4 linked regions of the Mytilus edulis genome follow. The protein of the gene in region 1 purifies or fractionates together with the protein of each later gene. This does not show direct contact. Links are inferred from orthologs where the notes say so. Each region holds a gene or a part of one and is shown in the gene's direction. Other genes may lie near its edges. The genes, in order: squamous cell carcinoma antigen recognized by T-cells 3-like, la-related protein 7-like, peptidyl-prolyl cis-trans isomerase H-like and U4/U6 small nuclear ribonucleoprotein Prp3-like.

Region 1 (7,734 bases):
GACAAAATTAAAGACAGAGTATTGTCCCTGCTAACCTGAAGAGTGTAGGTTTCAGCTCGAGAGTTCCCAGTGAAGACATTTTTTTTTTGTTTCAGTTAAAAAAAATTGAGGTACAGAAAATCAGATCATTTCGTCTTTTTCTATTTAGTTCTTTGAGTCGCTTTTTTGCTTTTCTTTACTTTAGTATGCATGACATGAAACTTTAAATTCATGTTCTAAAACAATATTTACGTGTGCATTGTGCTTCAATATGAAAATATGGGATAAACGTCAATGATACAGCCACCTAGTGACAGAAACAACCAAAAAGACATGCATGCGCTCGGTTTGACGGTAAACCAGATATATGCGAGATAGCCGCACGGGAGAAAGGAAGAAAGAACCTTCACAATTTGCCATACAATTGTTTTTCCCTTTCTTTTTTTTTTAAATAAATAATTAAAAAAAACTTTCTAATGTAGAGTTCCTAAGATAAAAATATTCCCTGTGGAAGAACCCGCCCCCCTTTTTTTTCGTCCTCTCCGATTTTAACTCTCAAATTAAGCTTTCCACTCTAATTAAAATTAAAACCTTGCTTTCTAACCGATCTATCCTTGTACTGGACCGGCAACTTTCTTCATTTAATAAGAAAAATATACAGTTGCGTTATAAAACATGCATGTTGTCTGCTTGGAGTCCCCGCCCGAAAAGAAAGAAATAGCCTAACTCCAAGATACAATATTCCTGCATCACGTGATTTTTGCCACGTGGAGCTTACATTAGAATGAATACCGAATATGGAAAGTGAAACTACAATTCAAAACATAAAGTCTAAAGGCACATGGATGAAAAAGATTTTTTTTTTTTGGCAAAGGGTGCCGGGGTTATCTTCTCTGTGTTCATAATATACATGAAATATTTGCCACTGCACCTTGTCTGCTCTATAAATTCTTACCCTGAGTTTTCTATCTGTGAGGCCCCTCATGGGGGGGTCCTAGTAATCACATAATCACCATTTTTTTGCCAATATAATCACATAATCATTAAATATTTGCTTATCTTTAGTAATCAAATAATCATAAACTAAAAATACAGTCCTAGGTAATCAAATAATCATGAAATATTTGGCTTAATAATCAAATAATCATTAAAAAAACGGCCAAGTAATCACATAATCAAAAACCCCATGAGGGCCCTCATCTGTTACATGCCAAGAAATCCTCGCTAAAAATTCTGGTTGACCTCCTGCGGCACCTATTAGTAGTTTAAAGATTGGATTTCATTCAACAAATTAATTTATGACCTGCATGTACGTGTCGCTTAGAACACGGCCACATACCAAATGGTTAATAATAATCATCCATGTAATTTGCTCTATGGGATGTTTGCAAAATTTCAACAGAGGCAATTTCTTGGCATGGATCGCTTATGTTGCTTTTATAACACTTATTTGAACTTTAATGCTATGTTTGTACATAATAAAGACATATCACAATGAAAATATGTAAAAACTTTCCTTCAAATCAATTAATTTGGTATTTTCAAAACGTAAACAAATACAGTTTTCCCATGATCCTTTATTCTACAATAGACATACCCGCATATGACAGTGAAAATGAACTAGCTGGATTCACACTTTATATACACTGATACCGCATAGTCAGCTATAAAAGGCCCCGATAAGACAATGTAAATCAATTCAAACGAGAAAACTAACGGCCTTATTTATGTAAAAAATAAATGAACGAAAAACAAATATGTAACACATAAACAAACGACAACCACCTGAATTACAGGCTCCTTTATGAAAAAAAATATAAAGAAATGCTATATTGGGGGAAATTATTTAGACCAATTATAAAACTATAAAAACCGATCAATTATAAAACTGTTAACTGAATCAAATTTTTTAAAGTACTCTATTTCTGCATGGATGAAGCAACGACACCACCATTGTCTTAAATGATGGAGTTAAAAACTCAGTAATTCAAATGAATCCCACGTGAAATTTTTCATGTTATTTTCACGTGAACTTTACAAAAATATGAAGGTATTTTTCATGATTTTAATTAAATTTTTTAACAATCTTATTTTGAAAATTTACGTGAATTCAACGTGTACCTGATTTATGCATGATTCACGTGGAACCAACCAGTTCAAGCAAGTTTCAAGTATATGCTCGTTATGAAAATCAGACGAGATTAATGGGTAATTCATGTGAGTGAAATTTCCAGGTGCAGAACGAAATAAATTATATCAGCAGAATTGTGTATTTCATTACTAGGAAATTAACGAAACCCGACAGCGGAAATAAAAAATAAAATAAACACCATTCAGATCCCGACACATATTTTGTTTTCAATATCTCTGAGTAGTAATACCGTAACGTTACATTCTGTATTCAATAACGTCACACGTTTTCGGTCCAATTCTAATGATATCAATCAACTTTGAAGCCATTTATCTCAAAAACAAGGATGGTGACATATGAGTTTCTATACGTGTATGGATTCAGTATGCAATTCTGGATATTATGTTAGTTTTTTGTTTTTCTCCGTATATAAGAACATAGCCATCCATTGGAAAATCTAAAAAGTTAAGCCGAAAAAAAGGCATTTCCCCTATATACCTAGGTAAATTTGTCGCCAAAATTGACGTTTTCCTATGAAAATACCAAGAAAACAAAAATGGTGACCCCCATTTTTTATTACATATTCCGATATAACTCAATTCAAAGAACACATGTGCCAAAAAGTTTGGAAATCGGGAGATATGCCATTCGGTATCGTGTTACCTTCAGAGCATCAATTTAAGTTTATTGACAATGTCATAGATTTACCTCAAAACGAGAAATATTAGAAAATAAAATAAAAGTTATCTAAATACAGCGTTACATGGGGGTCTCATTGGGGGGTTCCGATCCCGGATCCCGCTTACTGTTTTGTCAGATTCCCGTATCCCGCTTACACTATGTACATAAGCAATTCTCATTTTTTTTTCATTTCCCGGGTCCCGCAAGACCTAATTTCCCGTTTTCACGCCACAATAATTTGACTTTCACGTGTCACGCTTACAAAAAATCGGCAATCCCGCGTCACGCTTAGACCCCAATGAGACCCACTTACATTACCACTGATATCAATAATAAGCTCAGCATTATTAGACTGTCTTTCTCTTTCATATCAGAATATCTAAATATAAGAAATAGTGTACTGATATGATAAATCAATATGTAACTTTTCATTCTATCATGATATGTTATCATGTAACTTTTCACTCTACCATGTCAATTAATATAATTATATGTATACAATAGGTCTTAACCATTATTTGTTAATGAGTTTGCGCCAATAAAATAGTCGTTTTGTATTTGTATTAATTGGCATATTTTAAAAGCTTTGACTGTAGTTGATACACTAGCAAACTTTAGGAGCATTGGCTTCAGCTAGAATCATTGTGGCATCATCTAGAAGCATTGGTTTCAGCTTGAAGCATTGTGGCATCATCTAGAAGCATTGGTTTCAGCTTAAAGCATTGTGGTTTCAGCTTGAATCATTGTGGTTTCAGCTTGAAGCATTGTGGTTTCAGCTTGAAGCATTGTGGTTTCAGCTTGAAGCATTGGTTTCAGCTTGAAGAATTGTGGTTTCAGCTTGAAGCATTGGCATATTTTAAGAGCATTGCATTCAGCTTGAAGCATTTTCATATTCCAAGAGTATTGGCTATATGAATATATGAACCCTGCTTTTTTCAATCCACAAGAAGAGCAGCAGCAAACACCAGTTTTGACATGCCAGGGTTCCAACTTGAGTGAACACGCTAACAAAAGCTAGACCACTGATGTTATCATTGTATGAAGGACATATATACCTTGCAATTAATTAAAATACCAAAAATATAACATATAAAAACTACTATATAAACACCCTGGTTATTGACCCTCAAAATTAGGACAAAATATCAGACGAAAAACCACAAGACTTCTGCATACAGATATGGAGCTATCCAGCTCTTCCACAGTTTGGATAATAAAGTTTTAAAAAATACCTCCCCACAAGATTCCTTTGTTTTGCCCATGATACCGGCAAGCCAATAAATTACTGGTACTGTGGAGTCATTATTATTCGTTGGATACCAATTTTTGTGTTTGTTTCGATAGTACATGTGTGTGAACCACGAATTAAAATGTTCAACGAATAACAAATGTTCTATATGCTTTGTATGTAGAGATTGGCAAAACCATGAAATCAAATACTCACTCCGGAAATGCAAGTTTTCCTCCATCTACTAAAATAGATACCCACGAAAATACTAGTTTTCCTCCATCTACTAAAATAGATACCCACAAAAATGTTAGTTTTCCTCCATCTACTAAAATAGATACCCACGAAAATGCTAGTTTTCCTCCATCCAATAAAATAGATACCCACGAAAATGCAAGTTTTCTTCCATCTACTAAAATAGATACCCACGAAAATGCAAGTTTTCCTCCATCCACTAAAATAGATACCCACGAAAATAGTTAAATTTAGTTAATTCAAGTTAGACTAAGATTTCCAATATCCCTGCCAAAAAAATATTAATCAAACATATTTTTGTCACGAATCTTCCTTTTTATGCATTCATGTACAACTTTTTCTTTTTCTTTTCGTTAAATAATCTTTGCATACTAATAACGTAAACGTGAAAGATAACAAACGAACAAAGGACCCGATACCGTATCTGCTTCCTTGGTTATAGCATTTTTCACAATTACCTCCCTTAGTTCGTATTTTAAACGCAATGGAGGTCTCTACTTCAAACGAAAATAATAAAGAAATGCAAGATAGTGACGACGATGAAAAGGCAGATGTAGAAATGGAATGCGAGAAAGATTCAGATTCCAATGACTCTGACAGCGAAAATGAGGAATCGGAGAGACAGGTTGCAGAACTTCAGAAACAGGTCATTTACTTTTATAGCAAAAACTGAAGCCAAAGCCTTACTCTACTGATCTTTAGTAGACTTTACTATTGGTATTGAAAGAGGTCCAAACTCACATAATAAACCCCATAACAAATACATTATATCGCTATTTCGAAATCTGCACCGGTCGAATATTAAGAATCTGTGTGGTGGAACTATACACCTTATCGCCATTTGTCAGCCATTGCTGGATATCACACAGGTTCCCGTAAAATTTTGACGTCATAAAACAAAATGTCTGACGCCACAATGAAAAAGTGATTGTTGTATGCGTCAAAAGTTCAAGCGGCCGGGTCAGCCAGGATTAGCGATATGGTGTATTGACATCATACAACGAGCACTTCTCCATTGCAGCGTCAGATATTTTGTTTTCATATCATTCTATCCCCAAGTCGATCCAGCCAAAGTCAATCTGTCCCAAGTTGTTCCGTCTCAAGATGATCCATCTAAAGTCAATCCCTCCTAAAACAAAAAATATTTGTATTAAGCATTAAAAAATAAAGCTGTTTATGTTTTTGAATTTTGTAATAAAATGAAAGCTTGACAGTCGAAAAAGCTATCTCTTGAGGAATATTTTCATTATCATGATTATGAATAGATAAGACATTTTTTTGATTATAATGTAACGGGAGTGGAAGTTTCCCGAGTTCAGGGAATATTAGAAAACAGAATACGTTACTCATAATATAGATTTAATCTCAGCCAAATAGATTAAGCACAGTTTACAATGAATAAATATACGGTGGTGGCTAGTCTACTTGTATAAATAAAGGTTCCATATTTGAAAGCCAAACGATATGAGCGTCTGCTCATTTCAAATCCTTAGTGTAGACTGTCCCGAACCCGGTGAGTGACGTCATATGCGTATAGTTCCTATGGACAACGAGCCCGGCCGGGCACGTGCTAGAACAGGAAGTCCCGACAAGGATAATTTCATGGCCGGTCTCGGAAGAAAGAGTTACGGAACTATAAGTAATTATAAAGTTAACCAATTTCCCCAAATAGATAAGTAAACAAAGTGACCACCATTACAATAAATTAAATTACTAAAGATCAAACTATAAAGATCTTGTCACTCATGATTTTGATTAAATAGACAACTTTTGAGTTCAATGCATTTCCATCAAAAACTTTGTTTTTAATAAACATCATGTCTGCATTTAGGGGCGTCGTCACTTCTGTTTCAATGTTTAGAGAATGTTTGGAAAACTATAAAGCTAAATTGCACACTATCTGGTAAATGACGTCATAAAGGAGCACATAATTGACAATTTTTTTCTGGTGACAGACAAACTCAAAAGTTAATTATTATTAATGATACTTTAGCATAATCATCAGGAAAATGTTGAATAATCAAACCAAATATAAATAATCTAATGATTTGATTTAAAACTAGTCATTATAATCAGGATAATGATTATATTGAATTAAATTAAAAACAGTACTTTACCAATTACACCAATTTTTGTATCGACTTAAAACAATTCTTCTGAATATAACTGCAATATTAGGCATACTTCGCTCACTAGTCAGTAAGCATCGAAACTTTTTACTAATTCCATTAACCTGTAATCAAATATATATATATGTCACCAAATCTTGCAAAATTAGTAAAGATTATTAATCGGAAATGCACGATGGTGTTGCATCGAATAAACAGTTCCACTGTGCAATATTCCTTTTTGAAGTTTTTCATTCTTGAAATATTTATATTTTCATCCAAAACTTTTTTGCCCTGTTCTGTAATTAAATGTGTAGTCTATTTTTCAGATATCAAAGAACCCATACCTGTATGATGTTCACATAGATTTAATTAAGTTATTAAAACAACTTGGAGAGTTAGAACAGCTTAGAGATGCCAGACAACGAATGAGTGAATTATTTCCCTTGGCAGAAGGTATGCGAGGAGTCTAAGTTGTTCACATTTTATTGACAAATGAAAATGATTTTCATTGATGGATAAATACAGAGTTCTCTCAATCATTTTTAGCTCACCTGGCCTAAAAGGCCATGTGAGCTTTTCTCATCACTTGGCGTCCGTCGTCGTCGACGTCGTCGTCGTCGTCGTCGTCGTCGTCGTCTGTCGTCGTTAACAATTTTTCAAACATCTTCTCCTCTGAAACTACTGAATGGATTTGAATGAAACTTAACATGATTGTTCCTTAGTATATCCTGCACAAAATGTGCGCTTCGATTTTTGATCCGTCAAAAAACATGGCCGCCGTTACTTAAAATAGAACATAGGGGTCAAATGCAGTTTTTGGCTTATATCTCAAAAACGAAAGCATTTAGAGCAAATCTGACATGGGGTAAAAATGTTCATTAGGTCAAGATCTATCAGCCCTGAAATTTTCAGATGAATCAAACAAACCATTGTTGGGTTGCTGCCACTTAATTGGTAATTTTAAGGAAATTTTGCAGTTTTTGGTCATTATCTTGAATATTATTATAGATAAAGATAAACTGTAAACAGCAAAAAAGATCAGCAAAGTAAGATCTACAAATAAGTTAATATGACCAAAATTGTCAATTGACCCCTTAAGGGGTTATTGTCCTTTAATGACAATTTTTCACAATTTGTTCATCATATTTGCTAACTTTAAAAAATCTTCTCCTCTGAAACTACTGAATGGATTTGGTTAAAACTTAGCATGGTTGTTCCTTAGATTATCCTGCACAAAGTGTGTGCTTTGATTTTTGATCCGTCAAAAAACATGGCCGCCGTTACTTAAAATAGAACATAGGGGTCAAATGCAGTTTTTGGCTTATATCTCAAAAACGAAAGCATTAAGA
Region 2 (7,249 bases), on another chromosome or scaffold:
GGTGCACAAACTCTGATTTAAATAACCAGTGAAGGATATCCCTGCTGCTACATAGTGTGGCATTCCAACAATGACGTCTCTAATAAACATAATGTAGGTTGGATATATTTAGAATATCTCGTCATACTGATTTTTCTGGATTGTAAAAGAAACGTAAATAGTGTAAAGGAGAGCTCAAGATACAATAATTTCACGAGAAACAGAAGGGAAATGTGTAAAAAAAAAGTGTTTAAAGTCCATCTATTCATTTGTGTGTCTCCTTCTCATCAATCTCCGTCTGGTCAACCACATAGGGGATTGAAGGCTTGAAGCTGCCTTTCCCCAAAAACTGCAGTTTACCACTATGGCCTATTTTTAGCCATGGCAGCCATATAAGTACAAGAAAATAAAAAACACAATTGATTCTAGATACCCTTAGGGTCATTCAGCTTTACTTTAGTTGGCATTGGTTCTATAGTTTCAAAGGAGAAGATTTTTTAAAGTTAGAAAACATAATCAACAAATTGTGTAAAATTGTTCTTAAAGGGCAATAACTCCTTGACAATTTTGGTTAAAGAACTTATTTGTAGATCTCACTTTGATGAACATTTTTGCTGTTCACAGTTTTTCTTTATCATTTCTTTATATCATTAATAATATTCAAGTAATAACCATCATTGCAAATAAATTGCTTCGACAAGTGCAGCTGGATACAACCGCAGAGGTCCTGAAAAGATGGGACATAATGGACACAATCTTCGCATTTGATAAAGGTCTGAATTTGGCTTGAAATTAAATATTTGACACACAATAGTTTTCTGACACAGAATATAAACTGTAGTCAAAGAACTTGAATTGGTTAAGTGATTTGAATTAATATTATTTTTTTTGCTTTTGTGCAATACACTAAAATTAAATTAAAACAAAATTGACAGCTTATTACCTCAAGACAATACAACATTTCTGTATACATAATTTAAAAGCAGTGTAAGGGAGGTAATTCAACCATGTAGTGTTTGAATTACCTCCCTTTTTTGGGGGGTTTGTACTTCAGTAATAGTCCATTAAGAAGGACACCCTTGTTTCACCCCTTTTTGCAACTAATTCCTCAACGGTTTAAGCCATAACATATATGCATCCCAATGCCAATTCTTACAATCCCTTTGTGGTATTGAATCTTGTGGTATAATTTCAGAGAGATCCATACACCATTCCACAAGTTATTGTCTGGAAACTAGAAAAATGCTAATTTGGGCCCCCTTTTGACCCTTATTTCTAAACTGTTGGGACTTTAACCCCAAAAATCAATCCCAACCTTTCTTTTGTGGTCATAAACCTTGTGTTAAAATTTTATATATTTTTTTATTTACTTATACTAAAGTTATTGTACGGAAACCAAATGTTTTCGGATGACAAAAACATGATACCAATGTACAACTGCAAAAATGTTTGCTTAAGAAAAAATTCATGGAAGCCATTGATTGTTGGAAATTTACACATGGCCTGGGCCATGATATTCGAAATTTATTCCTGAGCGAGGGATAAAATTGACGGATATCGCGGCCAAGTGAAATTCCAACAATCTATGGCTTCCATGAATTATTTCAATTCTAATAGGACAAATACGGTCATTAAAAAACTGAAGCGAGGGTGGATATGCAGTGTGTCGGGCTGTTCTTTTTTACTTCCTGTTAGATAAAGCTCAAACATTCTAATAAATCTGTAGCTATCATGGATTATTACATGAATAACCGCAGAGACCGCTTAAAAATTCTTTTATTTCTCAAACCCAACATTTGCCATTTTTAATTTACATGTTTTTCTCATAAGCTTCCGTCAAATCCTAAGTTGACATTTCGTCACCATGATGACTTGCTGAAATCTGTAAATAATGCGAATAATGCAATAGAATAGAAAATAAAACACAACCTACCTCAATCAAAGTGCTGGATAGCACCTGTGGAAAGATTGGAAGAGTAGTTTGAATAATTTCATATTAAGGTATGGTGGGGACAAAAGAACATTAATAAAACAGTATTGCTGAAAATTGCATAAACAGCAGGGTTCAAGCAGGAATAAAAATCAGCTGTAACTTAAAACGACATTTTCAACGAATTTCAGCAGAGCAAAATTTTCCGTTCCATCCTTCAAGGGGACATCTAAAAAGATTGTGTTAATCCTTAATTAATCATTTATCTTTCAGACATAATTTACAGAATCACTTTATGTAATGTAGATCAAAAGTAATAGGCAATAAATAAATCTATCATCCTTATATATCAAACATCTAATATATACATTTGTGTATTCAATTATGAGGTCAAATATTTGTGTATTGAGATGTTTATTGGGTCTGTACAATTATGTAACACTGATGTTGATAAGTAATGTGGTCAATTTGATTGACATTTTAGGAGGTGGGGCATTGTAATTTAAGGTCCACCTTGTCCATGTTTGGTGATAATGACAGTTGTCAATCATACTAGTATTGTATCAATACTCAATTACCTAATCAAAATGCTTAAAAAAAGCCTGCACATCAACACACCTTCATTACATACATTCTTGAATAAACTGCTCCAAAAAATATACCCATTTTTCACAATTTATATGTGTATTATGTGCACATACATGAGAACTATAGGGAACTATATTTCAGTGTGAATACATGCAGTAATAGTAGTAAACCTGTCATGTTGTTAGGGAGGCCAGTGCCTAAGGAAAGATTAAGAACAAGTTCCAATCTTTCCAAAAATCAGTTTTAATACAATATCATACAAATTTCAATGGTTCACGCAACAGAAAACTTTCAACGCTAGTGGTTTCATTTGTATGACGTCTTGTTTTGAAATTATTAAATACGCCAAAAGCATTAATAGACTTTCGCGGAATTTATTTTTATTTTGTTGATTTCTCAGAGCTCTTGTTCATTACTTCTTTTTATTATGTACCCGAAAAGGAATAACAATTATTTTGTCTTTTTTTTATTGCAATTTTTAAAAAAATAAAATCGGCAAAGAGTCTGCAAATAGGTTCCAATACATGTAGATTTACATGGGAAGTATATTGTAACTGCCATTATTCTGTATATCTCTGAGTCTGCGCTAAGTATAGATATATCAAGAATCTTATCACTTGTTGTTTACAAAGCGAAAAAAGCATGTCATATTTCATGTATTAGAATGTCATATAAAAACTGCAAAATTTGCTTAAAATTACCAATTTAGTAGCAGCAACCTAACAATGGGTTATTAGATTCATCTGAAAATTTCTTGACTGATATATCATGTATATAGAACCTAACTCACCTAATTTACACCTTAACCTGTTGTCAGATTTGCTCTAAATGCTTTGGTTTTTATGATATAAGCAAAACACTGCATTTTACCCCTATGTTCTATTTCAAGCCATGGCGGTGATGTTTTTTGACGATACAGAAAAATAAAACACAAACTATATTATTGGATCTTTCAGCTAAAATTTGGTTTGAATGTTCAGTTATTTCAAAGAAGATGTTTGAAATAGTTTACCCAGGTTTGACGAGGAGGACGATGAACAATGCTTAAGGATTTATGAGCTAAAAATAACAAATCAAGGACCAATTTATATGGAGCTTTGTTTGTGTGCTTCTGGAAATATTTATATGCATTGAGTGAAATTTGTGAACCATGTAAGTGTTAAACAAACCTCTTTCATGGACAACCTGGGGATTCTTTTGAATAAGCTGTTGTACTAATTGTCCGGCATTTGTACTGATTGCCTGCATAAGAAGCTGGTGTTCCGAGGTCCCAGTTGGTTTTGCAGAAACTCCTTCATTATACGTAACTTTGGGATAATCATCATTTTTTGACGTCATTCTAATTTACGTGCGTTTCATATGACCTAGCTTCCGTATCATGCCATATATAATTTATAATTGTGTGGTAGGGGAAATCGTGTAGTTGATGTAGTTACAGGAATTCTATTAGGCCGGCTCGATTCTGACCAAAACAGCATATCGGTCGTTTGACCGGCGATAAACAAAATCAAGGTAAACCGGATAGAAAATTTAAAGGTTTTGATAAGAATACTAAAGTATATGATGCATAAAAGAAGCATATGCTAATATAAAAATCTTTGTAAAACTGAATGTGAGCTACATTTGTACTTTAGAAAATTCCGCTAAATCTGCAAAGGAGAATCGAGTTCCCCAGAGACCTCTGTAAGGAGATATAAAATAGATGTTGATTGGTTAAAGTTGAAAATTAAACCAATAAAATAGTGGGTAACATTTCCGTGTTTTGTATAGTTAGCTCCCTTTATTTTATAGAAGGAAATTTAAAAGAAGGTAGATTCTCTTAATTAAGTGGAATTAGTTTTCTAAGTAAACTTTGCCACTCATGACTGCAGTGCATGTGCCCTATAGCAATGTAGATGAGTTATGAGAGGACTGTATTTTTGAAGCTTTTGTCGTTTTGAGACGTTTCGGCCTCATTACCAGTTCGTCCACAATTTGTTTCGGGACCACTACCTTACCTTTAAGTTCAGACTTGGGGTCAATTACATTGGAATGTAATTAATTAAATTACTCATTACATTGCAAAAATATGAATTACACTAATTACACATTACACAGTTTTTAAAATGTAATTAATTAAATTACACATTACATTTCATCATAAATTGTTTTAAACAATATATATCATGTATATATAGAATGTGTGAAATATACATCTTTATCCCCTTCAAATGAGAACCACACAAGTTCTGTGTGTTGAACAGGTGCTTTGGGTGGCAGTGCTCATTATTTATAAAGGTGCTGTGGCTGTGGATCCCATCACCACAATTTATCCATGAATTTTGGATCAATTCATCCATCCACAATTGGTTTTTTTCCTTGATGGAAGGGAGTAAAATATAATGTTTCATCAAACAAATGGGAAGAAACAAATGAAAAAACATATTCATTTATAAAAATTTGTATCAATATTGATTAATGTTATAGAGTATTCGTAAAATATTATGAAAAGATGAAGTTTTTTTCAAATATAAAACGCAAACAAGGCAACTTCAAATAAAAACTTGCTGAGTTTATGTGGATCCAACTTTCAGTTGATGAGTATATTGTAATACAATACAAGCTGCCTTTAGCCTTTTAAAATACAGAATGAGATATTGCAGCATGAATGGAATTCCAAATGACTTTTTCAATCAAGACATCATTCACAGCAGATCTAAAATACACACTTGATGACAAAATGATTTTTTTTAAGTAATACGATGTACAAAAATGATGTAGTTCCTTTTTCGAAACAATAAAATTAATGGAAACGAGGAATGTGTCAAAGAGACAACTACCCTACCCGACCAAAAAGAAGAAACAACCCAAGGCCAAAAACATGACAAATGGGTCTACATGTACAAGTTCAACACAGCAAAAAAATCCAACACCTGGAGCAGGGCTTAGCCATGTTTGCTGGCCCCTAAACATGCATTACCACATCTTCTTATACACATATTTATTAAGATCATAGATGAAAAAAATGGGTTCACAGTTAAATATACCAAAAAAGACAAAATGTATGAATTAAGATGTGAGGTGAAAATTGTATTTCATAGTAAATTATAATATTTTTTGCAGTGTTATGGCAGGAACAGAAACATTAGATAAAGAGACTACAAAGGACAAGAAGCCAAGGAAAAGAATGAAAGCTTTATATGGTCGTATCAAGCAACAGGTTTGTTGAATAAGTCTCAAGGTCATAATGGTCCAATGAGTTAATGTAGTTATTATATATAATTATATCTACCAAAGTTTTGATAGACATTAAAAGTTAACATTTATAAAAGTAATTGAAAATACTTGACAAAATAAATTACTTCATGATGTTAGGACAAACTCATGAACACTCATACAGGGTTAAACTAATGTTATAAGTACTTTGTCCTTCCCTATTATCTTTATCAGTGGTAGACCAATAATTAAGTTAATGTGGCTTGATTGTTGTTCTTGCAGTCCTGTTTATTTGTTTAGGATAATGAGGAACGGTGGGGTATATGGCAATGAGGCAGCAATGGAACACACAAAAAATACAAAAGACTTCTGATGGGCAACTAATGTCTTTCATGTGTCTTTTGATTATGTTATTTTCAAGTTCTATACATTTTCTGATGAGTTGTATTATATTACATTTATATATATATATATTTACTTGCTATTTGATAACTGTACTGTTGTATATTATATATGTTGGATAAAAAAAAAATGTTAAGCACATGTCCCAGATCAGCCACAGACAAGGTTTCTGACTTGGTACTTGGACATGAACATGTGTTGGACTTTTTTGGGATACGATTGCTTTTAAGCAATCTGTAGACTTATACCATTGGCTCAGGGCCATGCCCTCATGTCAACTGTTTTATTCTAAACATTAAGGAACATCTCAGATTCTTATGATTGTCTTGCTTTAAAAGGTAAAAACAAACAAAGGGATTGAACTTAAACAACTTTCCTATAATGTTCTTTTCATAATCTTCATGTTTGATATTTCTCTTGACTTATATGCATGTTTTTAACAACACGGAAAATAAGAATTAAGCAGTATTTATATTTAGTGTTTTTATAAATTTAGAAACACGTCAGAGGGAATTCACCAGTTTTGATAAAAATGCGAGAGTTCTCTGAATGCCGATAAATCTATTTCTGTCACATAAGAACTGAAGTGGAGTTTTTCTTATATGTCACCGTTATGAAACTGATATTTGATATTGTACTTCCATAAAGAAATAGAGAACCATCATTAAATAGGTGAGAGTAAAGCTCTAAATCAAAGAGCAGATTGCTCTGAGGGATATGATTGCCATTGTTTTCATTGACACATGTATACATGTAGCTGGATGATATTATTTTCAAAACTAGTTCAACTGCACATGTAAAATGTAATTTACGTAATCTGAATAGTTACAAAATAGACAATCCCGGATACAAGTGTATGAAAAATGTACTTAGGCCTAATGTGTTTTGTTTTTGTACCATCAATTCCAAGTTTACTTTCCACAGTAGTCACTGAGACTCAGAGTGAGAGAAGGTATTTCACTTCGTATCTTATCACCTATTTTCCTACTTTAATTCTAGGAGGAACCCTTATTCCTAACTCTTTAAATATTTAATTTCCTTGGATCAGTGGATTGGCTATTTTGTACCTATTCAGATTACGTAAATTACATTTTATAATGGCAATTGTATCCCTCAGAGCAATCTGCTCTTTGATTTAGATCTTTACTCTCACCT
Region 3 (7,745 bases), on another chromosome or scaffold:
ATAGATATCAATTTAAGACAAACTTATATATAGTAAAGACATAGATAGATAGATAGATAGATAGATAGATAGATAGATAATTTTATTAACCAATCATGGTGCCCAAAATTTGAGCTATACAATCAAATGAATTACAAAATAAAGCACAGAAAATGATTAAAGTACATTTAAACAAAAAACCACATGAATACACATTTACACTAATTAACCTGATATAAACCAAGTTATTGACAAAACATAGTTTTTATGGGTGTAACCACTTTTTAGAATCTATATTAAAAGTGATAACAAATTATATAATGAGGGATGTTTTAATACTGTACTCAGCCACGTCCGGTCTGGTGTTCAAATGCGTCCATGAGTGTAAAAGATAGATCTGCATGGCAGTTTTGAGCCTGTATATTGAAAAAACTATTTTTCAAGTGGCAGACACAATTACTCGCTCTGTATCTGTGTGACTATTTTTCAGATTCTATGGCATGGGTTTTCAGGACGAAGTCAATAACACAGCCTTTGAAAACTAAAACAGCCATTTAAAACTAAAAGAGTAAAAAAAAACACAATGCAAACTTATATATAGAAGCAGAAGCAATAACAATCAATTTAGATCTAAAGTAGAGTTAAACCTCCTGCAGTCCAAAAAAAGGCACCCGTATTCGTTGCAAGTAAAAATTAAAAGTTCATGCATTAAATTCTCCAAGTTTACCTTTCGATGGAGAAAAATAACCTACCGCCTGTGTTGTTCAGAAAACTATTGTGATCTGAGTTACATTTCCACTCTTCTAGGTTTGTTATAGCTAGTAGCGGTATAATGTAGGCTGTGGTTGGTCCTTGATATACAGGCATTCTGAAAGTGTAATCAGTAATGATAATTGAATCCATCAAAAGTGGAAAGCAATAGAGGTAGATATCAGAATATATTACGGATTACAAATGTGTCGAGGTTTGTGATTGGATAACAACACAGAGATGTCAGTATATATTCAGGAAACTGCCGGGGTATATACGACGTTTTTATCCCCAATTGGAACCTCAAAAACGTCATCATAACACCGGTTACTATGTGACGCAGTCAAAAGCTTTCAGACTGTCAGAGGCTCACAGAGGGAAAATAATGACATGCTTCAGTCAATAATACATTTTTGATACAAAATCACGCAATTTACACTTTTAATACTTAAATTTAATGTTAAAAGTGTTATTATAAATTATTACATACACGATAAATTATGTTCACAGCAAATTAGAAAATCCTTCACGTATGCCGAACATATCAGGTCAGGTTTTTCAATATATATGTGTTGTCAACAAATACCTGCGCTGGAAAATAACATTAAGTCAGGTATAATCCGTAATATATGTGTAATTCAGGTCTCAGAAAGGGTATATACTGTGACATTCCCGGCTTAGGGCTTATATCCCCTTCGCCTTCGGCTCAGGGGATATAAACTCTAAGCCGGGAATGTCACAGTATATACCCTGTCTGAGACCTGAATAACATATAATGTGTATAAAGGAACAAGCATAATAAATCACAATAACCGAAATCGCATCATCGATGAACCCATTTCCGAATAATTAGATTGTTAAAAAGTTTTGGAATGGGTCCATTATGTTGTAGGTTGTAATTGTCATATACAATATGGTTTTTTGGTCTTGTTAAAGATTGGTACCATATACGTTGTGAGTATATTGGTATTAGTTGTAGGATGTTACAATATACTGTATGGGTATTGGTACCAGGTCTTTGTTGAAGGTTTTTAACCATATACAGTAGGGGTATTGTCTCTATATGCCGAACACACAAGAATAAATTGGAACTCGTCCTAAATAGATTGACTACATACTATTGATACTTTGCGTAAACGATCCATTACGGGTACATTCAGCTTATTACCTTACACCAAATGTAACTTGTACAAATGTTGTCAAACCACTCAATAAAATTGTAGTTGATAATAATCTAGCTTTCAATTCGTCATCATCCCGAGCACAAGTTACCTCTGCTACCAATATTACAAGTGTCAGATTCCATGGCAATGCCAACAGTGTGTTCTAAAAATACAACCAAAGCTAAAAGATGATATATGATGATGTCCGAAAATGACTTCGGTCTGTTTACGTGAATCCAAGAAAATTCACCATCACGTCACAAAATTGCAATGATTTAACCTGAATTCATCCACTTTACTTTTGTACAGATATAAAATTTGCTCTTTGTCTTTTAGTAGAGTGCACAAAGAAGCATGCGGACTACACAATTTAAGTAAAACATAGTATTTTCCTGAAAAAAGTGTCTCTTGATTTTGCAGATAATTAAGATAAGAAGCTTAGTTTCAATCTTTAGTTAGTTAATTTACATATAGCTACCCTTTGATTTAAACATGCTCGCAAAACGAGTATTGATAGATCCGACTCACTGAATTCTTAATTCAGATAAGTCTATTTTCATTTTTCCCCACAAAATGATTCATGTGTAGTTAATTTTTTTACTATCTTTATATAGAAAAAATGAAACTGTCCAGCACAACAGTGGTCTTGATTTGTTATCCGTTAATGTCGTTCCAAATTCACAGCAGGATTTGGTGAAAATATAGGACGAGGTATGTTAATTAAATCTCATTCTGTGATATAAACTTTTTTCAAGGTAATTGAACTTAAACTTCTGTGACCACGAATATATATCCAATACTAGCATCACAGATGAAACAATATGATTGAAGGTCACAACAATACTGCATCATGGTCACAGCAATACGGTACCGGTTTTGTTTTCTGATATGTTTTAAAACAAACTCTTTAGTGTTCAATACTGTTCGAATTCAGACTACAATTATTATTTCCAAAATAAATACATTTGTTATTCCCAAACTTCATACAATTGTTATTTCCAAACTTTATACCATTGTTGACTGAACTTGTACCTGCATTAAAGTTACATGTGCCATGCAGGTAAACCAGATGTTGAAAACTTTAGACACACAACAGCACAAATTTACATAGAAAAAAATGTAAACCACACCACATGGCCAAAACGGAAATATATATAGTCGCAAAACAATAAACCATTGCAGAAAAAGTAACAAAATTGATACGGAAAAAGTATTGACAGGGAAAATGTTCACAATTTATCAGATAAATATCATTTCGGAATATATATACTCTGTACAATTATATGCACAATGAGTATAGGCTCAGGCATTTTAAATTTAGAGCTATTCATTTAAATATAATTATAATAGTTATACTATATATAGAAATGGATATTAAGATAATCGAACTATATAAAGATTCTCACCTGAAAAGCAAAGAAAAGGGTGGACTGCAAAGCCGGTCTGTCGCTTACTTTATACAACAATTTAGCTGATTGGTCTTCTATCACAACAGAGTCAGATTCAGGGTCTTTCTTTTCCTTTAGATTTGAATGAATAAGACAGTACTCTTCTTGGTTTTCTGAATCACAGTTCTCTATTGACCGCTCTTTGGTCATTTGGAGTTCCTCATTTTTTAACGCCTCTGTGTCTTTATTCTGAGTCTTATAGATTGGTGCAATTCCTTCACTGTTCATTATCATTCCATTATCTATTGTATGGACATCATCATTGAATAAGTCATTCTTTGATGTCATTTTGAATGACAATATATAGTGTATGCTTATTTACCTTATGTAAGATCAAATACCATTATTAACACTTCTTACTGTATATTTGTTTTCGGTGGTAGCCGTGACTCAAGTTATCAAGGAGTGATAGTGAATATTTTTTCTACATTATGCATAGATCAAGGCCAAATCTAGGTTGACTTTAAGCATGTTAAGCCATGATTTGTTTACTAGTATATGGTTATGGTAATTTAGTGCACCGATTTTGAACCTGTATGTTGGCTGCAAATTAGGAGTGGCTATAAATGCAATATGATTTTGTTTAGATTAAAATGCCGTGGCACGAGTAAAGCCACCATGTTTTAACTAGTTTCAAAATCACTATAGTAATATTTCATTGATACAATTTTAAAATCTCTCTGCCTTAAGAAAACGGTCACGTTACACAGACCACGTACGTAACGGGTATATGGATGGTATTTGAATCTATGATCATGTATCGCCATCAGTTTGATAATAAAATAGCTGAAATTTATCTGTCAATACTTTTGGGGCATGCAGACCTAGCCTGAATGTTAGCTATAGTCGGTCATTAGTAGCGAAGACATATACTATGTTAGTTTGTCTATGTTTGTAATGGGAACAGTAGGCTATATCTAATTATACTTTTGTTCCTGGTATTAAAATAAGCTTTTGTTTAGATAAAGAAAATCTGAATAAGGTGTTTTGTGTCAAACTGATTTATCTTACCATTACGACCATTTTACAATAAGAAAAGATAACATGTAGACTTTATAGTGAATCTATAGCATGCGCCGGAAAGTAAACATCAGTACGTTGATGGTTTTCTGTAACAAAAGAAGAGAAGAGAAGAAGATAGTGAATGTACAGTAACACAGCCAAATGTTGAAAAAGAAAAAAAATAATACCAGGCTACCTTGGGTTGTACAAGTCAAGTTTAATACTTCTATATATATGCTTATATTACTATTTTTTATGTGAATTGAACAATTCTTATACACTCCCTTTTTTTCTACTCATATTTGTTTAAGTAAAAAAAAAAAGCGTGTGTAAATTTCAATTATACGGAAGTCCGTCTGATTTAACTTAGCTTTACCCAACTTAAAAGTACGTAAAGGGAGATAATAAAAAGCCGACAACATGTCGTATTCAGAAAAACCAAATAACACTAACAATCCCGTTGTTTTCTTTGATATTTCCATTGGAAACACAGTACGTATGATCATTTGAATATCTTCAATACACAATTACACGCGACCGACATGTTATGGTTTAAATAGAACATAGTGACGATTTTAGAAAAAAAAGGGGGGGGGGGGGTAAAACTTATTTTGGCGGAATTTTTTTATGGAGGCGGTGTTCTAAAACAACAAAAAATAACACGGGGAGGTGAATGGGCACTCTTTATATGCATAGACGTGTCATGGATTACTCTTTGTTTAATGTATCCTTTTTCAGGCTTAAACATTTGAGGTTTTCATTTATGATTCTTGTTCTTTGGCTTTGCTGTTAGCATTTATAGGGGATGAACTTGAAGTATGATTGCCAAGGAGACAACTATCACAGTTATTAGTATTCAAAATATGAGCATTTTCACACTATGACTATAATCTTAGTTTATCATAACAAATATTATATGGCTGTATTATATTTACACCTCAAAAACTACTCTGTGTACAGACTTACCTGTCCAGTTGGAAATGTTTTAATGCCTGGCATCCACTATATAGATATATGAAAATTAAATGCATTTTTCATTTCAGAAAGATTAAATCTTTTTTTTGTGTTTTAATGGGCATTTTTTTTCATTCCTGCACAAGGTATAAAAATAAACGAAGTGATTTTACAACTTGGAGATGTTCCCTCTCAGGTATAAACAACTCTTTTTTTTATTTAAATTGATTGTCATGGACAATAGAAATCTACACAACTATAGGTGAGTTAAAGGGTGTAATTGAGTGGACAGTATCAAATGCAATTCAGGTGGTTTTTTTACACCTTCTGCAGGAAGGGAAAAAAATGCCCATCAAAATCCAGGAATGATTTATTTTTCTGAATCACAAAATGCGTCTAAATCTTAAATATCTAGTGGATGCCAGGCATTAAAAACTTCCAAACAGCACAGGTAAGTCTGTACACAAGAGTAGTGTTTGAGGTGTAAATACGGCCATATTTGTCCATTTGTTACAGTCAGGGGTACTACTTGTACAAGTGTATTTTATTTACTTAAAGAAGTGAAAAAAAATATACACATATAAGTAAATAAATAATGTTTGAATAATCTCCCCTTAATTTTCTGAAAAATTTACTTGTATAAGTAAATTTTTCTTACAATCCAACAAATATCCTCAAGTTTTGAGATGTAAAATCATGCCTTTAAAATTTTTTCCCAGGTTTGCTCAATTTTTTTCATTAAAGATCAATGTTTCATCTCATTAATTCATCAAAGAAACTGATTGAGCAAAGATCTTGTATATTTGCGCAAGGCCTTCAAAAATTGCTCCTTTGGGGCTTGTAAATGAGCAGTGTTAAGAAGATAACAAACAAATGGGACTTTCATTGTCCATGAAATTACACTTAAATGATTAGTAAAGACATCTGTAAAGGGTACACAATTTAAAATTCTATTAGAGCAAAGAAATCTTAAGAATTCAAGAAAAGAAGAAAGGATGATTTTTTTACTTATACAAGTAAAAAATTCTGAATGCCTAAGGGACATAACTAAGCCAATTTTTTTTTTACCTATACAAGTAAATAAAATTCACTTGTATAAGTATCCTACAAATTTACTTATATGTGTATATTTTTTTTTACTTCTTCAAGTAAATAAAATACACTTGTATAAGTAGTACCCCTGACTGTGTTATGACGAATCTAATTCAAAGAAAAAAATTACAAACCTCTATATTTATATTTAATGATAGTTTGATCTGTACTACATTTGTAAGTACTAAAGTATAGACTATAAAATTTTAAAAAGGCACTAACATCATGAACATGAAAATGGAAACAATTCAAATGAGAAAACTAACAGCCTAATTTATAACAGAACCATTTATGAAAAACAACTATGCCAGACTATGAGCTATCTACAACCACTGAAGTACCATGACTACAGGTTTTTGACATAGAACAAGCACATAGAAATGATAGAGAAGCGGTGGGGTTAACCATATTTTTGTAGGCTCTCATTTTTCCTCTAACCTTGGACAGGGATGTGACATCACAATAATAGAACAAACTTTAAATACCAGTTGCTTGTCTTAAATTATGGTTCCAAGGATCAAAATAACAATAGATACCAAACACCGGATATGAAAACAAGGAATTGTATAAAAACATAGAGTATCTCAGAGCTCCAGATAAGCTGCATATTTGCGTGATCACGCAATAAAAATTATTAAAAACCCAATGCAATTGCCCATTGCAGGGTTCAATAACCCAATTAATTCAAAGGAAAACCCAATTATATGCCAAAACCATGAGTTTTTAACGCTTTTACTCGCTATCATTTGTGTTATTTAACCTTATCTGATCACAGTCGTAGCGTAAATCTATTTTATAATATTTATAATTGGAAAAATTCTATCGTTCTAAAAATAGAAGTTTTTCGAATTGCTCGGGACTTATCATAACATACAATGATTTAAAACGAAAGTAAATGTCCGCATGTTTTCATCTTCTTTCTTTTTGATAGCTTAGGGAAAGTTATGATAATAACAAAACTCAGCTAGTGTTTTTATGAAGCATCCATCAAACACACGTGCGTGTTTGCATACCTTAACGAGAACATTGCTAGATAGATAAACACAGGGTTACGTCAAAAACTAAATCAGTTGTAAAGTGAAAGGTATATCTCAAATCTGGGAACTACTTATTATTTTTTTTTAAAAAGTAGGTCTGGCAAATGGGTGAAAGTACTGGCAAAACTTCCTTACAGCACCTAAATTTCACATAAAAATCTAAACACTTAACCGGACCACGCCTACCCCAACTAAACTGTAGGGTTATCATATGGGATCTAGAAAGGTAATAAGTTACTGTCCAACTAGTGACACCAGTTGCAGTTTATATAAGTTGTGAGAAAATAAAAAACTGGAAGAACGTTTAAAACGGGACATAA
Region 4 (7,911 bases), on another chromosome or scaffold:
GCAATTCGAGGTCATCCTTAAAGAGACTTGGGAATTATAGATGCTATTTTCCCGGAATCCGGGACAAACTTTATTTTTCCATCATTTCAATGTATGCAATTCCAAGTGACCATCTATCCAACGATAAACTAATTCGGCTATTTTGTAGTTATATGTCATGATCAGTACTTTGTCTTTTCTAAAAACTTGAATCGGTCAACGCTTTTAAGTTTATATAAATTCAAATGTGTATTGCCATGAAAAAATTACAAAAAAAATATGTGACCAAGTGCAACATGTGCAAAATGAATTATATACATCATGGTACATCAACAGTTATTTTTTTCATCATATAAAACGTTTTCTCATTAAAAATGTAACTTTCCAATTTAAATAAAAGTTGTTTCTCAGTTCCCTAAGTTTTGTTATCAGTGGCGGATTCAGAACTTTTTATAAGGGAGGCCAACTGTCTGACCAACAGGGGGCCCCTTTTCTTCAGTCATGCTTCAGTGATTTCCTATATAGTCAAACAAATTATTCCCACAAATGGGTGTTCAGTCCCCCCCTCCCCGGTCCGTGTAACACTTATCAATTCAAAGTTTTAACAAGTTTTCAAAATTCAGATTTTTGGAATTTTGATCAAAGTTTTAAAATATCAAAAATCCAAATTGTGTAAAAGTTTTGAAATTTTGAAATTTTAACCAAATTATTAAAATATTAAAATTCTAAATATCGTTTATAAATTTGATAGTTTAGTAATTTGATCAAACTTTAAAAATACTAAACCTAACGTGCAATTTTAAATTTTTCACTTTTTGAAAGTTTGATTTTTATTAAGAAATCAAAATAGAAAAGGGGCGAAAAGAGGGGTAATTGTAGACACGGCTCTGATTATAATCATTCTTAGTTAGGACGAAATATATATATCAAATCATTTTTAATTAGAAAATAAATAATTAAAAGAGTAAGTCTTTCTTTTATAAAACCTATCAGGCATTGTCAGGCATCACATTGGATAATAGTATCGTGAAATTTCAAAGTAGTGCATCTTTTGAAAAAAAAACTTATTTAAACCAGCATCAAATAGGTTGATTTAAATCTCTAATATAAGGTAAGGGTTTGAGATAAATAATTCAGAGCTATAGTTGGTGTATCCAGTGCCCAAAATTTAGAAGTAACAGTGAAAACTGATCAACTTGCAATAGGCCAAATAGTATTATTCGCCTTTTTGACGTTCCTGATGATCCAGAAAAAGCGCTTCGGTCGCATGCAACTTTAAACGTTTTGTTTCCTTTTTTATTGTTTACATGATGATAATATTTTGCCTTTTATGATTGATTTCAGTTCCAATTAACGATGCGGAAGGAATACTTTATTAATGGTGTCGTAATGAACGTTGTGCTGGGCGGGCGTGCTTCAGCTGGTCCCTAGACATAAAAGTGTACTGGTTTAGTGAAGGTTCAGTGATGGTTCAGTGATGGTTCAGTGATAATAGACGTAATACTAAACTCCGAAATATAACAATGAATTAAAGTTAAAATCATACAAGAATAAAAAGGCAAAAGGCGCCTGAATTGGAACAGGCGCACAAATGCGGCGGGGTTAAACATGTTTTGTGAAATCACAACCCTCCCCCTATACCTCTAGCCAATGTACCAAAAAACAAACACGCAGCAATACGCAGTCAAACGGATTTTAAAAGAAATCAAAGTTCATGTCAGAATAGGAAACAAAAGAAACTATTCAAAATGACAATCATAATAAATTAACAATATATAATTATATATATATACTATATATAAAGCTAGAAGTTAGTGACTCATGCCAGCTCCATACTCCAAACAAACTAATCAAAATATTATGTCTTCGTCAAATGAATAACAAGCACAATCCCTTCCTGTTGTATTTATTGCTAATTTGTTCCTGAACATTCATGAAATATTTGTCACTGGAAACCAAAAATCGATAATTCAAAATAGGTTGTTTACATACAAATTACAAAGAAACTTAGGATTCAACTCTCTCGGGCAAAGTAGCCCTTATAGATGGATTTTGTTACGTTTACCTTCACTTTGGCCAAACACCTCTTCAATTGTTTCGGTTCTTATAAATACTTGACTTTCAAATAATTAGTTGCAGCTTTCCGTAGGTGACTTAAAATTCAGCATTTTACATTGTACTGGTTTTTCGAGAGTAACATTGGTGTATGGCCAAAAATGGAAAGATCCATCATGCATCATGTCCCATTCTGACTGGACATACCTGTGTTCCTTTACTTTGCTCAAAGTTGATTGTCAGTGTCGTAGCTAGATCATTTTTACGTGTATGCCCGAACCTCGGAAAAGCGGTTCCATGCCAAAGAACCTGCTGGAAGTTGATAAGCCGGGACAAGCCTCCGGAAGTTTTAGAGTTATCGAGAATGTCATAAAATTCCTGTCATTGAAAACTCATCAATAACAACATTTTTTAGATTCAAAATAATTTATTTTCTATGTTTATTCTATTCATTGTGTTTAAAATCTATTTAGAAGATAATGGCGGTCTTTGGCTTAATTTGGAGTAAACGTCCAAACCAGTTACCTTAAAATAATTACATTAGATGTATGTTTCATTATAATACTTTATTCTGATTGGCTAACTGCATGCACATCACGTGTTATTCCGTAAGCAGTTGCAATGCTCAATACAACTTTTCATTCATGATAACACGTGGTCCAACAATAAAGTGCACAGGTGAATTAAATAAAAAAATATATAAAATTCGTGTTTTCATGATCATAGCTAAAAAATGTAATTATAAGTATTGAATGCTTCTTTTTGTAACTTTATAGGGTTGTAAAAGCGTTGACCGTGCACACATTTTTAGAATGAAGCGCGGAATAAAAAATGTACTTCGGTCAACGCTTTTACACCCCAATAAATTTACAAAAAGAAGCATTCAATTCTTAAATATGATTAAAGGGAGCCGTGGATAACCTTCATTCATTACCGAAGCAGTATGCGTGGTCTTTCATTTAGGATTATTTTACTTTATGAAAACAAGATGGATCAATCGCAGAAAAGTGTTCTCGACTTCTTTCATAAAATGTTTTCATCTGAAATTGAACATAGCAGAGCGATGGCTTCTGCATCTGATGTAGCAGCGTTACTAGGTCTTACAAGTATTTGACAGCTTGCCTCTCTGTGCAATTAGGAGATAACTGTATTGTATTTTAAGCTCCGACGGCATCAATTGGGGATTTGATGGTCGCAAATTAAGTTTACTGGCGACGCGTTAGCGGAGACAGTAAACGGGCATTTGCGACCATCAAATCCCAAATTGATGCCGTCGGAGCTTAAAATACAATATTGTTATCTCCATTCTAATGAAACTGACAGAAAACAACGTTAAAACATGTATTTAAATTCTGCCATATGCCGTCTGCGCTTGCGCGTACGTCCCATAGCATCAATTGTCAATTGAAGCCATGTAAGAAAGTGACGTTATCCAATCAAAATGAACGTTACAAACGTTGTTGCATTAGAATATGTGATTTAACGGTGGCCAGATCGTCTGACTTAAATTGCAAAAAAATCTGAAAAATAAACGAAAAAAAAATTGGTTTCTGAAATTAACCATGAAAAAAAACCACTTCAATGAAGTTTAATTGAATTCGACGAAGGTTTAACAAAGTAATTGATATGTAATTGATTTTAACGTTAGACTAAGTGCAAAAAGAAATTATTCTTTTTCTATAAAATATGGGAAAACTTATCATATATGTATAATTTCGATATTATGCTCTGGATACTCGTTTGTGCATACACAGTTTTTGTCCAGCTACCGTAAAATTTCACAAATGTTTGACAAAGTTATTGATATATCTTAAAACTAAAAGAACATAATGAACCTGCATGAGTGTACATAGTTATCATTTTGGTACCGCCGACGAAATTTACGATCAAAATAGCTCGCTTTCGCGACATAAATGTCAATGGCTCGACAAGAAATGAAAACCACATATCGAATCCAAGCTCATAATGAATTGCTTAAAAAAATAAAGGAGATAAGTATAGAATTAACGGTAGATTTAGAATTTGACAGAAATAATATGATACTAATTTTCGTCACTTTTATTCGCATTTGCAAGCCATTGGAGAGAGACATAAAAGGTTAATGTACTGTTAACCAATTCTTTTATTTCTATTTATATGATTTTTTTTTAACAAATTCAAGAGTACGCCCGGACGTTTTGAGACCTTTTGACGTAAACGTAGCTACGCACATGTCCTGGACCAGGACACCTGGTATCTATCAATGATGAGGTTATGTTGATATATACCTTATAACAGTATCTTGGCTCCAAGCTACTAATATTTGTTCTTAGTCTCAATTTGAGCGTAAGAAAACGCTTCTATTTCGTTTCACAGTTTATAAGTACCCCTCTTTTCGCCCCTTTTCTATTTTGATATCTTAATCAAAAATATAAAAATCAAACTTTCAACTGAAAGTGAGATAATCAAAATTGCACGTTAGGTTTAGTATTTTGAAAGTTTGACCAAATTACTAAACTATCAAATTTTTAAACGATATTTAGAATTTTAATATTTTAATTATTTGGTTAAAATTTCAAAATTTCAAAACTTTTACACAATTGGGATTTTTGATATTTTTTAAAAACATTGATCAAAATTCCAAAAATCTAAGATTTCAAAACTTTTTAAAACTTTGAATTGATAAGTGTTACACACCGCCGCCCCCCCCCCCCCCCCCCCCTTTACATTTAATAAAAAATAATGAATTTACTTTATTCATAAAGTTTACTTTTCTCTTTAATTTTCTAACATCATTATCCTTATTAATTTGCGCAAATCCCGGAACTTGCTTTTCCGTGTTGTTTTATTTATTATATAGTTTGTTGTTGTGTAAGTAATTTCAATTGGTCGAAACATCCCTGTCAACCAATCAGCGTGTCCGTTTCAAGAAGGATCGGCTAGCATTTCGATAATAACACGATCTTTTTTTCCAAAATACTGTTAAAAAATATAAAATACTGTAAGTAAACATGTCAGTGCATCATATAATTCAGGTTGAAATAATGAAGTCTATATAAATAAATAACTATCCAAATGCTGATATTTGTAAAACGAAAACCACAGTAACAAGTTTTCCTTGGAATAATTTCTGTATATTTGATATTTTACATTTTTTTTGTATGGCCATCAATTATTTTTATATTTGACATCATTATGAAAAATAACTCTTATTCAAAATACAATAAGAATTTGAGTTAATACTTTAGTAATAATTGTACCTTTCATGTGTAAACGGAAAACATGTTTCTCCTTACAATGAATATAAAATCATCTTGGTCTCCCTAGGACTCAAGCTCATAATATTTAGAGCTTATGTTTGTACTGTTTGTCAATATGCCGAATCCAAATAAAGTTTTACTTACTTACTTTAATACTTACTTACTATTCAGGGACCTCTGTGATACAAGACAATGTATTTACTGACTGAACTCAACATGCTCAAGAAGAACTTCTCTATATTCATTTTATGTAACTTTCCTGGCAGGGTTATTCTTTTTTAACCATGATTTTATTGTTGGGCAACAATGTAATTGTAGAGCATGATTCTTTTTCTAATATGAGGCAGGCATAACCTGTGAATGGGGACGAAGTCTGTAGACTGTATGTATTATTTTTTAATTCAATCACGTTGATAAAAGAAACCGAAATACCGTACGTAACGTTCCCGATTTTGATTCTGTTGTTAGGGAATTAGCTGTGACGTTCTATAAGTTATGACGTCATATTCGATGTACACAAAAGAAACGCTTTCATCAGGTAACGTTTTTTCATATCAAACAATTATTAAAATTGAATTGGTATTGAGATCCAATCTTATATTTTACTAGACTGATAAATATAATTTTTTTCAAAGTCTCATGCAAACAAGACAGATATCTGCGCAAAAGCGGAGAAAACCGGAACAGGAAGTAGATCTGAAAAAAAAGTTAACGATTTTGAGTTCATTAGTAGAATGAAAAATTCAGGAAATTTTCTTGATTTTTTTTTTTTTTTTATTGATTTTTCTACCGTAATTTGGGACTTCGTCCCCATATAATTATCGTTGATGTTTGTCTCCTCTGGTACTTGAACCCAGGAGCCTTGAGTGAGCATGTATATCCACTGAGCTATTGAAGTACTTCACTAGCTCAGTCGCTTATGCTGTTTTCACAATAAACATTTGAATCCACAAGCCCAAAACTCATTTTTACCAAATTTTTAGTTGGATTCTGTTGGCTTGTAGAAAAGAACTTCACAAGCTCAACAACAATTTTACAAGCCATGGCTGTAGGACATGTGGTTTAATGTGAAGACTGCAAGTTATGGCTGGTTATGTATCTATCACATATACCAATGACTAATCAGTGATATTGTTTGCCTTAAATTACTGGAGAATAAAGGCTTTTTCCCCTGGAGAAGAATTCCAATTTGAAAAAAAAATGGCTAAAAATTATTCCCAAAAAGACAAATTTTTCACAGAATTTGTAGAGTTATTTTTCATAATAATGTCAGTAGTAATTGTGCATGAATACAAACTGAAATACACCCATTTATCATGTTTATACGTTTTTTATGCCTAAAATGACAATATATTCATATTTGAGGGTCTATTTATGTGTCATCACTGATAATAAGGGGTCTTATTTCAAATGAGGGTTTACCTCTTGAAAGGGGATCTACAACTTGAAGTTCCAGTCAAATTTATGGTTTATTATAAATTTCCCAATTTGATAAAAATGATGCATATTTCCCAATAAAAAAAAGGTAGAGATAGTTTTGAAAAAAGCCAACAATATCACTTAGGGATGGTGTACATCAAATATGGAGTTCCAATTTTGATTTTATGAATAAACTGCCCCAGTTGACCTGGTGTCATTCTAGAGAGATGAGGATAGGATTTGTCAGGGTTCTTGCTAAGAATTTTTGAAGGCGAGTGCAGGGACTTGTCATTTTTGGACATGGTGAGTTCCATTGTAAGAAGAAGATATATTATTGCAATATAATTTATTATTTTAGTCTCTATGACCTTATAGGGTAATGAAAAAACATTAAATTCAGACTACTTTTAAACTTTGGGTATAAAATGAGGATACATTTGTTCAGTTTATACACAATATTTCTTTATTCATCTTTTTTTGGACTCACCAATTTTAAAAATGGTGTGTCCAGACAGATTTTTATGAGTCCACGACTCATGGACTCGCCTAAGTGAAAATTCTTATTTGTGAATTGAAGTTATTTAAATTTTGACATCTGTGAAAAAGCACAAGTCGTTAGATTATAAACAGTATATTTTTAGGTAAAGATAGCATGAAATGCAATCAAAACCTTATAGGACTGACTTGATACATGTATCTAAATGTTCAAAGGCTTGTCACTACTTTTTTTTATACAAAAAAATCAAGTGCATTGATCAACATGATCAAAAACATTCTATACATCCTATCCGTCAACATTTCAAGAACTTTATGATTATATACATGTATGCTCAGATATTCAAGGCACAAAATATTGATACACTAGTCAAGAAAATTATATACATGTAACATTTGCAAAGTGCATGAATTGTGAATCTAATATCTGTTATAAAAAAAGAATGATGTCATTGTTAACATCATTTTTTTTTAAATTGGTGTTCTCTTTCCTTTGTCTAGAATTGCTTTTAAATCAACTACAACAATGTAATAATTAATTTTACTTCCCACTGATAAATTGAAGTAATCTTTACCATTCAGTGCTTTCAAGCACTTTGATTATATTAGGCAGGTGTTAAGGTTAATTTGGTACACATCAAATTTACACCTATAGAACAAATATAGCAAAAGTCAAATTGACACTTGGTCAACAATGTCAAACCAGCACTTACACGATTTGAAA

What was found.
Region 2: the proteins of squamous cell carcinoma antigen recognized by T-cells 3-like (region 1) and la-related protein 7-like purify together in Homo sapiens (affinity purification with mass spectrometry; 4 studies listed by BioGRID and IntAct, counting the BioPlex papers as one, with this or other methods). This does not show direct contact. The link is inferred for Mytilus edulis from reciprocal best matches to the Homo sapiens genes SART3 and LARP7.
Region 3: the proteins of squamous cell carcinoma antigen recognized by T-cells 3-like (region 1) and peptidyl-prolyl cis-trans isomerase H-like purify together in Homo sapiens (affinity purification with mass spectrometry; 3 studies listed by BioGRID and IntAct, with this or other methods). This does not show direct contact. The link is inferred for Mytilus edulis from reciprocal best matches to the Homo sapiens genes SART3 and PPIH.
Region 4: the proteins of squamous cell carcinoma antigen recognized by T-cells 3-like (region 1) and U4/U6 small nuclear ribonucleoprotein Prp3-like purify together in Homo sapiens (affinity purification with mass spectrometry; 5 studies listed by BioGRID and IntAct, counting the BioPlex papers as one, with this or other methods). This does not show direct contact. The link is inferred for Mytilus edulis from reciprocal best matches to the Homo sapiens genes SART3 and PRPF3.

What each region holds. Positions count from the first base shown.
Region 1 is NC_092349.1:30,327,920-30,335,653, reverse strand, and holds the start of squamous cell carcinoma antigen recognized by T-cells 3-like, read left to right. Parts: upstream 1-4,717; 5' UTR 4,718-4,758; coding exon 4,759-4,920; intron 4,921-6,711; coding exon 6,712-6,838; intron 6,839-7,734. UniProt on the Homo sapiens protein: U6 snRNP-binding protein that functions as a recycling factor of the splicing machinery. Promotes the initial reassembly of U4 and U6 snRNPs following their ejection from the spliceosome during its maturation.
Region 2 is NC_092352.1:62,371,129-62,378,377, forward strand, and holds the start of la-related protein 7-like, read left to right. Parts: upstream 1-4,231; 5' UTR 4,232-4,306; intron 4,307-5,599; 5' UTR 5,600-5,603; coding exon 5,604-5,696; intron 5,697-7,249. Other genes in the region: uncharacterized protein, read right to left, coding at 3,667-3,835. UniProt on the Homo sapiens protein: RNA-binding protein that specifically binds distinct small nuclear RNA (snRNAs) and regulates their processing and function.
Region 3 is NC_092356.1:36,863,658-36,871,402, forward strand, and holds the start of peptidyl-prolyl cis-trans isomerase H-like, read left to right. Parts: upstream 1-4,722; 5' UTR 4,723-4,762; coding exon 4,763-4,834; intron 4,835-7,745. Other genes in the region: solute carrier family 23 member 1-like, read right to left, coding at 732-847, 1,898-2,055, 3,299-3,628. UniProt on the Homo sapiens protein: PPIase that catalyzes the cis-trans isomerization of proline imidic peptide bonds in oligopeptides and may therefore assist protein folding. Participates in pre-mRNA splicing.
Region 4 is NC_092354.1:9,891,537-9,899,447, forward strand, and holds the start of U4/U6 small nuclear ribonucleoprotein Prp3-like, read left to right. Parts: upstream 1-4,902; 5' UTR 4,903-5,014; intron 5,015-7,911. UniProt on the Homo sapiens protein: Plays a role in pre-mRNA splicing as component of the U4/U6-U5 tri-snRNP complex that is involved in spliceosome assembly, and as component of the precatalytic spliceosome (spliceosome B complex).